Nothobranchius furzeri: one gene and its partners. The protein of the gene in region 3 purifies or fractionates together with the protein of the main gene of each other region. This does not show direct contact. Links are inferred from orthologs where the notes say so. Each region holds a gene or a part of one and is shown on either strand. Other genes may lie near its edges.

Evidence for each region.
Region 1: the proteins of claspin (region 3) and cdc45 purify together in Homo sapiens (affinity purification with western blotting; 4 studies listed by BioGRID and IntAct, with this or other methods). This does not show direct contact. The link is inferred for Nothobranchius furzeri from reciprocal best matches to the Homo sapiens genes CLSPN and CDC45.
Region 2: the proteins of claspin (region 3) and timeless purify together in Homo sapiens (affinity purification with western blotting; 4 studies listed by BioGRID). This does not show direct contact. The link is inferred for Nothobranchius furzeri from reciprocal best matches to the Homo sapiens genes CLSPN and TIMELESS.

What each region holds. Positions count from the first base shown.
Region 1 is NC_091757.1:55,442,727-55,446,376, reverse strand, and holds part of cdc45 (cell division control protein 45 homolog), read right to left. Parts: intron 2,771-3,650; coding exon 2,678-2,770; intron 2,582-2,677; coding exon 2,444-2,581; intron 2,345-2,443; coding exon 2,198-2,344; intron 1,186-2,197; coding exon 1,127-1,185; intron 1,055-1,126; coding exon 1,006-1,054; intron 929-1,005; coding exon 867-928; intron 773-866; coding exon 722-772; intron 643-721; coding exon 523-642; intron 451-522; coding exon 319-450; intron 229-318; coding exon 130-228; intron 1-129. UniProt on the Homo sapiens protein: Required for initiation of chromosomal DNA replication. Core component of CDC45-MCM-GINS (CMG) helicase, the molecular machine that unwinds template DNA during replication, and around which the replisome is built.
Region 2 is NC_091743.1:49,124,045-49,127,694, reverse strand, and holds part of timeless (protein timeless homolog), read right to left. Parts: coding exon 3,577-3,650; intron 3,505-3,576; coding exon 3,390-3,504; intron 3,314-3,389; coding exon 3,112-3,313; intron 3,036-3,111; coding exon 2,896-3,035; intron 2,779-2,895; coding exon 2,699-2,778; intron 2,493-2,698; coding exon 2,369-2,492; intron 1-2,368. UniProt on the Homo sapiens protein: Plays an important role in the control of DNA replication, maintenance of replication fork stability, maintenance of genome stability throughout normal DNA replication, DNA repair and in the regulation of the circadian clock.
Region 3 is NC_091759.1:26,753,949-26,757,698, reverse strand, and holds the start of claspin, read right to left. Parts: upstream 2,582-3,750; 5' UTR 2,447-2,581; coding exon 2,420-2,446; intron 1,824-2,419; coding exon 1,715-1,823; intron 1,639-1,714; coding exon 1,316-1,638; intron 1,235-1,315; coding exon 1,088-1,234; intron 972-1,087; coding exon 912-971; intron 832-911; coding exon 759-831; intron 680-758; coding exon 577-679; intron 1-576.

The DNA of each region.
Region 1 (3,650 bases), on a different chromosome or scaffold from region 3:
TGTTCCTGCTGCTAAAATTACTCATCATAGGGAAGGTGGCTTTATAAGAGCTTAGTCTTAACCGCTGCTGAATCACACCATGTCAGAGATAAAAAGCAAAGGAAGCGTTGAACAAGTCCGCATCCATACCCAAATTTATTAGAGGACTCTTCAATGACGTCTCTTAGGTTCTCCTTTATCGACATGTCCATGGATGTATATTTTTGTTTCACTTGTTTCAGAGGTAACCTGTAAACAACAACACAAAAAGAAATGAAGCATCAGATGCTGCCGTCTCTCTACTGCTGACACACGAAGCACCGGTTTGAAAATGCGTACCCCATATCAGCCAAGAACTCTCGCAGTTTCTTCTGGCCGTTTAAAGTCCAAAGCTTAAAGCTACTGGAGGTGTAGCAAGAATTACAGATGCTCTCATACAGAGACCAGTGCTGGTAGAGGCTGAGACGCAGGCTGGATCACGGGGTTAAGAAAAACAGAACGGAAAAAAACCCAAAGATCTGTTAGAAGATAAAGAAAGGATACTCGTATTCAAAGGAGATCCTCATGCAGTCGATGGATAAAGAGTTCTCCTCGTCCTCATTTCGGTGGTTATGTCGGGAAACATGCCGCTGCATCGTTGCGACATCTGTTACGTATTTCATGCTGAAAAGGAAATAAAACTCTAACCACGAGCCATTTGTTGCAAACATTTACAGAAAACCTTTAGAAAGCGAATCCTCACTGTGTGATCTTGTCGTGAATCTGCTGGTCCGTCAGCCCGATGATGGCCCACCTGTAGACGCAAACACGGATTTTAACGGAACGGTGCCGCGTGCATTTCTGTGATCTGGAAGTCGTTTATAGAAATGTTTAATTTGAAAGCTCACCAGAGCATGTCCTTGGTGTCTTTCGTTAGAACCCAGGCGAGCTCGAAAAACATCATCGCAGCCTGAGAGTCAAAGGCAGATGATGGGTTTGTGTATAGTTTATATCAGCTGAAGCTCAGGATCTGAGTTGTGTACTCACAGAGGTCCCGTGGAACTCGAACTGTTCATAGTCGAACAAGATTTCCCTCCTGAGAAACTTCAAAAGGTTAGACACACATCACAGATATCTCACTGTTCAATAAAAACAGACAAAATCTCACCTCCGTGCCTCCCACTCCCTCCTCGCTCTCTGCCTTTCAATTCTCCTCTCAATCGCCCCCTGCCACGACACAATCCCGACACAAGCATTAGGCCCTGTCCACACGTAGCCGGGGATCTGACCAGGCCCACCCATCCACTGATTGGCTGGGAGGGGCTTGGCCTAGAGTCGCTGCTCTTCTAGCCTAGAGAGGTGATGCAGGGTTTTCCCTGTTTATGATGTCACAAACGGGGACTTTCTGAAACTTCTTGCTTAAGGCAAATAATTCCTAAATCCAAATACTTACAGAAAAAAAAATGGACAGATGTTTTTTCACCTGTGGAGTGTTTTTAGAGGCAGTAGAGAGCCACAGGGCAGCACAAAGTGCTCCAAAAGGTGAATTCAGCACAATATGTCCTATGTCCACAAGCCTTAGGTCCTGTCCACACGTAGCCGGGGATCTGCCAAAACGTAGATATTTTTCTACGTTTTGGCCTGTCATCCACAAGAAAACGGAGTTTTTTCACACGAAAACGGATCTTTTTAAAAACTCCGGCCAAAGTGAAGATCTGCGTTTTCTCCGTTTTGGGTGTCTGCGTGTGGACGGACAAAACCGGAGTTTTAAGGTCCGCAACGTCACTTTCCGCGACCAAAAATGCTGACATCACGTGTGCGACCTGTGTTTACACCAGCCGACAGCATGGATGCCTTCAGAGCTGCGCTCGCTTTATCAATTGTCCAAGCGCTTTCTGCTTGTTTGTTTTTGCAAGCAGAATTACTGCTCCTTACGGAAGACCACAGACGAAGGACGAGGTTAAGAACGGGGGAAGTACTGCCGCCTACAGGTCTGGCATGTCCTTAACAACGTATTTATCCGGGTACGTGTGGACAGTTTTTTTTTAAACGAGGTGGTGTGGATGCAAGTTTTTGGAGGGGCAGATATTCGTTTTTAAAAAAAAAACCGGCTACGTGTGGACTAGGCCTAAGTCAGCCTCGCTGTCTTCTTCTTCAATCAATTTCCCTCTGGGATTAATAAAGTATTTTTGAATTGAATTCTGGCATCCTTTCTGCAGCGTCTGCTAATGCTCCTCACTTCATCAAACCTCCTCCGCTTTCCGGACGGCTCTGAGCCTTCGTCGCTGTCGTTTCCAGAGCCGTCATCTTCCTCCTCGTCGTCTCGAAAGATGTCGTCGTACGACGGCACGCCCAGATCGTCGTCCTGTTTGATTAGCAGTTTAATCTGTGGAGGGGACGAATGACGGTTAAGTAGGGAGTAAGTTCAATATGAGGGGATTAAAGTTTGCGGTTAGTCCTCTAAAACCTGATCATCCTACATCACCTGAGTGTCGTTATAGACATTAACCACGTCCACGGGACGGTGAGTATCACAGATGAAGAAGATGGAGTCATCATCTGGCTGCAGCATCTCAAGGAGGTCAACATTCGCCCCGCAGTTGATGAGAACAAAGTATCGAAACTACAAAACAATCAAAACATTTATTTCACAGTTTTTGTCCTAATCAGCCTTCTGTTGTACATATCCACGAGTAGACTCAAGTGTGTTGTTATTGACCTGCTCTTTGTGTTCAAGGAAGGCGGTGGAGAGATCCTGCCAGCCGATCACCGGCACCAGGGTGTACTGAATGTGGTCGCAATGAAACAGCGCCTAATAAAAACACAAACATGAAAGCTTTGAAAATGTTCAAAGCGGAGTCGTGCAACTGGAAATTACGTCGATTAGTATTTAATTTGGTTTTAGTTGAACACAGAGAAACCAGGCCTGAGAGGGACAAGACTCACACCACCTGTTCCACCTCCTGCCCTCTGGCACACGCGACAGGTCCATTTGATCCAAGACAGACTTTATACATCACACAAGATGTATAAATAAAATCACCACCCTGAATCAACCCATGCACCAGTCGCTTTATACACAACAACATACGTAGTTATTTTATCGTGTCTTGTTTTGTGAATTTTACTTACCCTACACTTTCCTCCTGTATTATTTCTATTTTTGTCTTCTTTTTTTCCCTTTAACTCATCATACGAGCTGTAAAGGTAGTTTAAGCAACTTTTTTGTTCAAGGTTTCACCACAAGGTGGCACTGTGACTTTGTGAATGACCTAGAAAGTTTATTTAACATGTTTATTTAAAGTATTATTTTTCTTGTTTTCAATACATTTTGTAGCATTTACAGGTGCACAGAAGTAATAATTGTTGATGTTTGAGTAATTTTGAATTGCTTTATTTGATAAGTTGTGTTTAAAGAGCAAGTCACCCCCTACCAGAGTCTAACTCCACTCCCGCTTCCTGTTTGAAAAATGCAACAAATGCTGTTGCCTGGCAGACTGAGAGGGCGGAGCCGCTAACAAATACACACACACACAGGCTCACGACAGCATTGTGACATCATAATGTACCAGTTTACATCATAGCCTACCTGTTAGCCAATAGCGGTGGCAGATTTAAATTCAAATATAGTGCAGAGTTTTTACCTGACGACGGCACAACACTGACAGTTTTAGAAGAAGAAGAAGAAAATA
Region 2 (3,650 bases), on a different chromosome or scaffold from region 3:
CTGGATTGTATAAAATCAACATGACTACCACTGACTTGCAACACTGATGTTTTATCTCCACAAATAACACGAGTTTGAAGGAGTGTTGCTGTGTGGTGGAGTTGCTAATGCTAACGGTTAGCTTCTGCAAGTCGAGACAATCTCTGATGTTTAATGGACACTAAACTAACAACAACCATCCTTGTTGCGAGTCCATGAATTTTAAAGGGATTAATGCAACTTTTTCATATTTTTAAACCATTTTCTTGTGCCCCACCCCCTATCGCCCTCTGTGGTCAGAATATTTCACTTGCAGCTTCACAGTTGCAGGTCCAGTCTGATGGACTTAAACTTGAGCTTACACACCTGGGTCCAGCACGTTTCCTGCATGTTTTAGATCAAGAACACAGCTGATTTGTTTAATTTAGTGATAAATCTCCCCTGTAGACACTAAAGAAGGCTGGGAGACGTTTCAGCTGTTAGATTAAGATTATTAAAGACGAACGCACAACGAGGAGATTGGTTTTGGTTCTACAAACGGACATGAGGGGGTGCTAAAAGCAAGCCAAAACTGCCTCGTCTCTCTGTAAGTGACACTGACGTAGATCTGTCAGGGTTTTTTAATCCTAGAGTTTCAACGTCTATTTTCTATCAGAAGCTGGCGCAGGAGGTACAGTGGGGCAAAAAAGTATTTAGTCAGCCACCGACTGGGCAAGTTCTCCCACTTAAAATGATGACAGAGGTCAGTAATTTTCATCATAGGTACACTTCAACTGTGAGAGACAGAATGTGAAAAAAAAAATCCATGAATTCACATGGCAGGATTTTTAAAGAATTTTTTTGTAAATCAGGGTGGAAAATAAGTATTTGGTCAATAACAAAAATTCAACTCAATACTTAGTAACATAACCTTTGTTGGCAATAACAGAGGTCAAACAATTACTATAGATCTTTACCAGGTTTGCACACACAGTAGCTGGTATTTTGGCCCATTCCTCCATGCAGATCTTCTCGAGAGCAGTGATGTTTTGGGGCTGTCGCCAAGCAACACAAACTTTCAACTCCCTCCACAGATGTTCTATGGGGTTGAGGTCTGGAGACTGGCTAGGCCACTCCAGGACTTTCAAATGCTTCTTACGGAGCCACTCCTTTGTTGCCCGGGCGGTGTGTTTGGGATCATTGTCGTGTTGGAAGACCCAGCCACGTTTCATCTTCAAAGCTCTCACTGATGGAAGGAGGTTTTGGCTCAGAATCTCACGATACATGGCCCCATTCATTCTGTCCTTAACACAGATCAGTCGTCCTGTCCCCTTAGCAGAAAAACAGCCCCAAAGCATGATGTTCCCACCCCCATGCTTCACAGTAGGTATGGTGTTGTTGGGATGCAACTCAGTATTCTTCTTCCTCCAAACACGACGAGTTGAGTTTATACCAAAAAGTTCTACTTTGGTTTCATCTGACCACATGACATTCTCCCAATCCTCTGCTGTATCATCCATGTGCTCTCTGGCAAACTTCAGACGGGCCTGGACATGCGCTGGCTTCAGCAGCAGAACACGTCTGGCACTGCAGGATTTGATTCCCTGCCGTTGTAGTGTGCTACTGATGGTGACCTTTGTTACCGTGGTCCCAGCTCTCTGCAGGTCATTCACCAGGTCCCCCCGTGTGGTTCTGGGATTCTTGCTCACCGTTCTCATGATCATTTTGACCCCACGGGATGAGATCTTGCGTGGAGCCCCAGATCGAGGGAGATTATCAGTGGTCTTGTATGTCTTCCATTTTCTGACAATTGCTCCCACAGTATATTTTTTCACAGCAAGCTGCTTGCCTATTGTAGATTCACTCTTCCCAGTCTGGTGCAGGTCTACAATTCTTTTCCTGGTGTCCTTCGAAAGCTCTTTGGTCTTGGCCATAGTGGAGTTTGGATTCTGACTGTTTGAGGCTGTGGACAGGTGTCTTTTTTACAGATAATGAGTTCAAACAGGTGCCATTAATACAGGTGAGGACAGGTGAGTGGAGGACAGAAAAGCTTCTTAAAGAAGACGTTACAGGTGTGCGAGAGCCAGAAATTTTCCTTGTTTGAAGTGACCAAATACTTATTTTCCACCCTGATTTACAAATAAATTCTTTAAAAATCCTGCCATGTGAATTCATGGATTTTTTTTCACATTCTGTCTCTCACAGTTGAAGTGTACCTATGATGTAAATTACGGACCTCTGTCATCATTTTAAGTGGGAGAACTTGCACAATCGGTGGTTGACTAAATACTTTTTTGCCCCACTGTAGGTGTAGGAGACTATTTTCATGCTCAGCCTGCATGAATAACTCAGACAGATTCTAATCAGAAATAATCATAAAAAATATTTTTTCCGTGTTCTAAGTTCTTACTTCTGTTTCTTTAGTTCTTTGGCGTTGTCCACTAGACCCATGTGCACCAGCTGAGTCACCACATGTCGCCGAGTGCGGGCGCTGTTGCTGATTAACGACAGGAGAGTCTCCACGATGTCTGGCACTAGAAACAGAAACGGTTTCTTGAGTTTTTTGTTTAAGGCGACTCATTATTTGTTTTACTAGCAGCGTAACCCAGAAACAACAAGTCCCAAATATGAAACTAACTTAATGCAACATTGTTGTTTATAATCAGTGAACACATCTCATCCTCCTGGTGGTCATCTCAATCTGGTGACTAGTAACACAACAATAAAGATCAAGGCAGACCTTCTGAGTCCCGGTGCTCCAGGTAGAGCTTCCGCAGCTCCTCCTCCTCTTCTTCGGTCCACGTTGGCTTCTTCCCCTCGCTGAAACATTTAGAACAATGACAAAAGTGACAAACATAAACACACAAGCCCTAGGTTGCATTTTTAGTTTGTAAACAACGTCTGCTTGATAAACACAAACAAAAGCAGAACTCTCACCCCTCCTTCCTGTAGCCTTCGGTCATCTCGCGTACAGCCCCCACGTTCTTCCAGAAGAGCAGTTCCACATACGCCTTGTTGTTCTGAGCCGCCACTGAGAAGAAGCGGTTCACCACGTACTTGGAGAAGGTCACTAGTTCCTGTGAAGGAAGAAAAACAGGATTGTCTCTCACGTCTGACCAACAGTAGATTGGAGAAGCAGCGGTACCGACGCACCTTGTACGCGGCTGCAGCTGGATCGCTCATGATTCGATTGAAAATGTAGAAGACCGACAGCTGGAAGAGCAGGGCGTCCATTTTCAGGTCGACAGCCAAGCGGTGCAGCATTCGCGCTATGCAGTGGTTTGTGTGGGGGGTGTTTTTAGAGTAAGACTTTAACAGCAGCAGGTAAGGACGTACGACGGCGGGGTTGGCAAACCTATCAGAGTGGAGATGAGACAGAAGCTGTTAGGAGACTGTACCCACCCAGAGACGACGCTTTTACCCTCGCTCACCTTCTGAGGAAGTCCAAAAAGTTAAACTCTTTTTCAGTGACTTGAACAGACATCAACTCTTCCTCTTCTAACTCGACTCCATCATCCTCATCCTCCACTGTCTCAGGAGGTGGTCCTGAAATTAAAACGAGGAGCTAACAAGCTGCACAGATGCAGCGGCGCTGGACTAAAGGCACATTAAACTCACTGGGCAGGTTGGCATGGAGGATCTGCTTGAGAAGCTCCAGTTCTTCTTCAGGTTCCACGTCAGCTGAACCAAAC
Region 3 (3,750 bases):
CCCAACCCAACCCAGGGCCGCGTCGACCCAACCCAACCCAGGGCCGCGTCGACCCAACCCAACCCAGGGCCGCGTCGACCCAACCCAGGGCCGCATCGACTCAACCCAGGGCCGTGTCGACCCAACCCAACCCAGGGCCGCGTCGACCCAACCCAGGGCCGCGTCGACCCAACCCAGGGCCGCGTCGACCCAACCCAGGGCCGCGTCGACCCAACCCAACCCAGGGCCGCGTCGACCCAACCCAGGGCCGCGTCGACCCAACCCAGGGCCGCGTCGACCCAACCCAACCCAGGGCCGCGTCGACCCAACCCAACCCAGGGCCGCGTCGACCCAACCCAGGGCCGCGTCGACCCAACCCAACCCAGGGCCGCGTCGACCCAACCCAGGGCCGCGTCGACCCAACCCAACCCAGGGCCGCGTCGACCCAACCCAACCCAGGGCCGCGTCAACCCAACCCAACCCAGGGCCGCGTCAACCCAACCCAACCCAGGGCCGAGTCGACCCAACCCAACCCAGGGCCGCGTCGACCCAACCCAGGGCCGCGCCAACGCAGGGCTACTAGTTGTTACTGTTTACTTCAGCAGCGCCATGGCCGATCCCTCCGGCCGGGTCCTCCTCTTGAAGAACTGCTCGATGGTTTTGGGTTCAGGGATGTGGTATGGCAACCCAAGCGTCGACTCTACAGACGCAGAGAAACGTTTAGCGTGTTGCAGATCAAACCCCTGCAGCTAAAGCAGAGCAGAGCCAGGGGAACTGACCTCGGACCAGCCTCTGGCTCTCACTGTGAAGCTGCTTCATCGCCTCCTTGCTGGCTCGAGCTGCTTTCCGTTCCTGGAGCCCCCAGAGACAATCAGTTTATTCTACCTTCAGTCCGAGTCGTCTACCTGGTCTAACGTGGTGCTGTATCCTACCGCTCGCTGGGGCTTCTCTGGGACCTCTTCATCCTCCTCCTCTTCCTCCAGGAGGGGGTCCTACAGTCACATTTAACAAGTTTAGTCAAAACTTCCTCCTGAAACACGTCCGGACTCTTCTCATCCAGAACACGAGCGGAGTTAGGGTCAGAGTGACGTAAACATCTTGTTCTTACTTTGTGTTTCTTCACTTTCTGTCTGACCGCAGCTCTGATGGCGTCCAGAGACTCCTCCTCCTCCTCCTCCTCCAGACCGGTGCTAAACAGCTCTGGATCACCCAGAGGACAGCCGCTGTCGTTCAGCGCTGGAGGAAGAGGAACGTCCTGATGGAAAGAGCAAAAGGTGACCAGTTTATTTTTAAGATTTCTGGATTTATTTGGATGAAAATTTCAGACGGAACTCACCTCCTCTCCTCCACCAGACCTCCTTCTCCTTTTCAGGCTTTCCACCACTTTGCTGCGTTTTTCTTTCTTCTTTCGATGCCTTTGACTCTTCTCTCTTTTATTCTCCTCCTCTTCCTCGTGCTCTCCATCGCTACCATCAGATGCACGAGCCTTTCTGTTGCTCCTCTGTCCTCCTTTATTCCTCCTCTCTTCGTCCTCACTAGAGGCAGGTACCGCTTCTTCAGACAGCTCCAGGCGTCTTGGTGCCTCCTCTTCCTCACTGTCACTGTCTCTGATGGCGTTACGCCGAGGCTTCCTGTGAACTGTGATGTCATCATCTGAATCTGAGAGAAAAACTGATTTAGGGGACCACGGTTTCTCCTGATTGTCCACGAGCGTCCTGCAGCAGGTCTGTCTCACCTGGACACTCATCTCCTCTATCAGACGTCTCTGGGACCTCCTCCTCTGCAGGAGGACCCATCCCGCTGTCCCAGTGGCTCTGTGGTGCTGCTCGGGCCAACGCCTCAGTCTGAAGAGAGACAGACTTCAGAGCCTGTGTGTGTGTGTGTGTGTGTGTGTGTGTGTGTGTGTGTGTGTGTGTGTGTGTGTGTGTGTGTGTGTGTGTGCGTGTGTGTGTGTGTGTGTGAGAACCGGGTCTAGAACCCGTAGCTGTTCCACCTCTCACACCAGAGCCGTTTGACCTGGTTCGGACTGGTTTCCGGGCCACAGAGAGACACTGGTCTGGGACCAGTCCTGATCAGAAACACGGTCTGGGTCAAGGCGGACTAGCTGATCCCAGACCAGCTGCTAGCCGGATTCATGGCGCCTTCGGTCAGTAAAACAATGAATCAACGTCACAGCTGGATAACCGTGTCGGACCGAACGCCCAGCTGTCCGGTAACGGCTACCGGACCTTCGGACTGTTTGATGTGACTTTTTAACGGAGCTCTACCGAATTAGAACGAGGTGAACGGAAGAACCGATTCCTCGGTGTTAGCAGCTAAGCGGCTAACAGCACCTTAGCACCTTGTTGGTGACGTTTCCCTCCAGCACGCTGAACACACACCTGTCTCACATGTACCTGTCTGTACACCTTCCACTGACGCCGCCTGCTAGCGTCTTTACCTGCAGGTGAGACAGGACAAGGCTCATCTTTGTGCTCCGGTTGGTCCGCCCGCTCCCGGCAGGGACGAGGCTCCGTCCGCTCCTCTAACGGCTACAGCCGCTACCGACACCGAGAACAACGTGTCCGTGAAAAGAACTCTACTGCAGCTCCTTACCGAACAGCTAGGCCGCGTTTTACCGGACAGCTCCGCTTCCTCCCGCCTCACCCGCTCACCGAACACAAAGTTTACACTTTCGCGCGCCGTGACAGCTGGCCCGCGGTCTTTCACCAGCGAGCTGTCAGTCCAGCGCTTCTCGCCCTGCTATTGGACCATCTGTGACGGAGGTATCCGCCCAGTGTGACGACACAGTTAGTGGAGGAATTAAAACATCCACCAGCGCTGCGCAGGCGGGCGGCTAAGTTTGCTGCGCCCCACAGGATTCAGGCTTGTACTGTTTTTGAGACAGCGCCGCCCACTGTTAGCTAGCGTTCCAAGATGGAGTACGATCGGAAAGTTTTTTATTTTTGTTTCTACAAACAACTTCAATTAAATAAATATGATAAAAGCTTTTATTATTAAAATTTACTCAGGAATTTTCAAATTTGTATTCTGAGAACTACTTCACTGAAGCGTTAACAACGAATAAACTATTTTAATAAGCTTCACCGACAATTACATATTATTTATAAATAACGGTTAAGCTTGAATCTGCAGTTGCAGTTACACGTTGATCCTTTAGAGGTCGCTGTCTCAAAACAGTACAAGCCTGAATCTGCGGTCTCCGGGTCTTCTGTAAGTGCACTTGGGCACGTGCGCAGGCTCGAGTGCACGACCGTGCGTTAGAAGAATCTCACCCCTCTCTCTGCAGTACGCTCAACATAGAAATACGACAATAGATGAACCCCGACTGGTTTCTGGTGGTACGCTGACCTCCTCAACACAGGTCCTGGAGAGACATCACTTTCCTCTGCTTTTCATGTCCTCCTATGGCAGGCACCATCTCTGCTTGAGCCACAACAGCTTGCCTTCTCACCACATTGTTCCTCCTAAAAGGCGTCTTTGCTCTTCAGCAGATTATGACGGTACCTTCTGAGTTTACGACCTTCAGGTCTTACTTCATATGATCTTGGGTCAGCTTACTGAGGAACAATGGCGTTTCTGCTCCATGCATTTTGATCTTGGCCTCTCACCACATCATCCTTTGTAAGCAGTCTAAGTGCCCTTGTGGTCTTGTCATAATGCTGTTTTTGTCTGCATTTTAGATTCTCTTGTTTTTCCAGAATCCATGCCATCCCAGTCTCTGACTCAGACCAAGGTAGGCTCCTTAACTTCAGGGTGTTCAGGATCTTT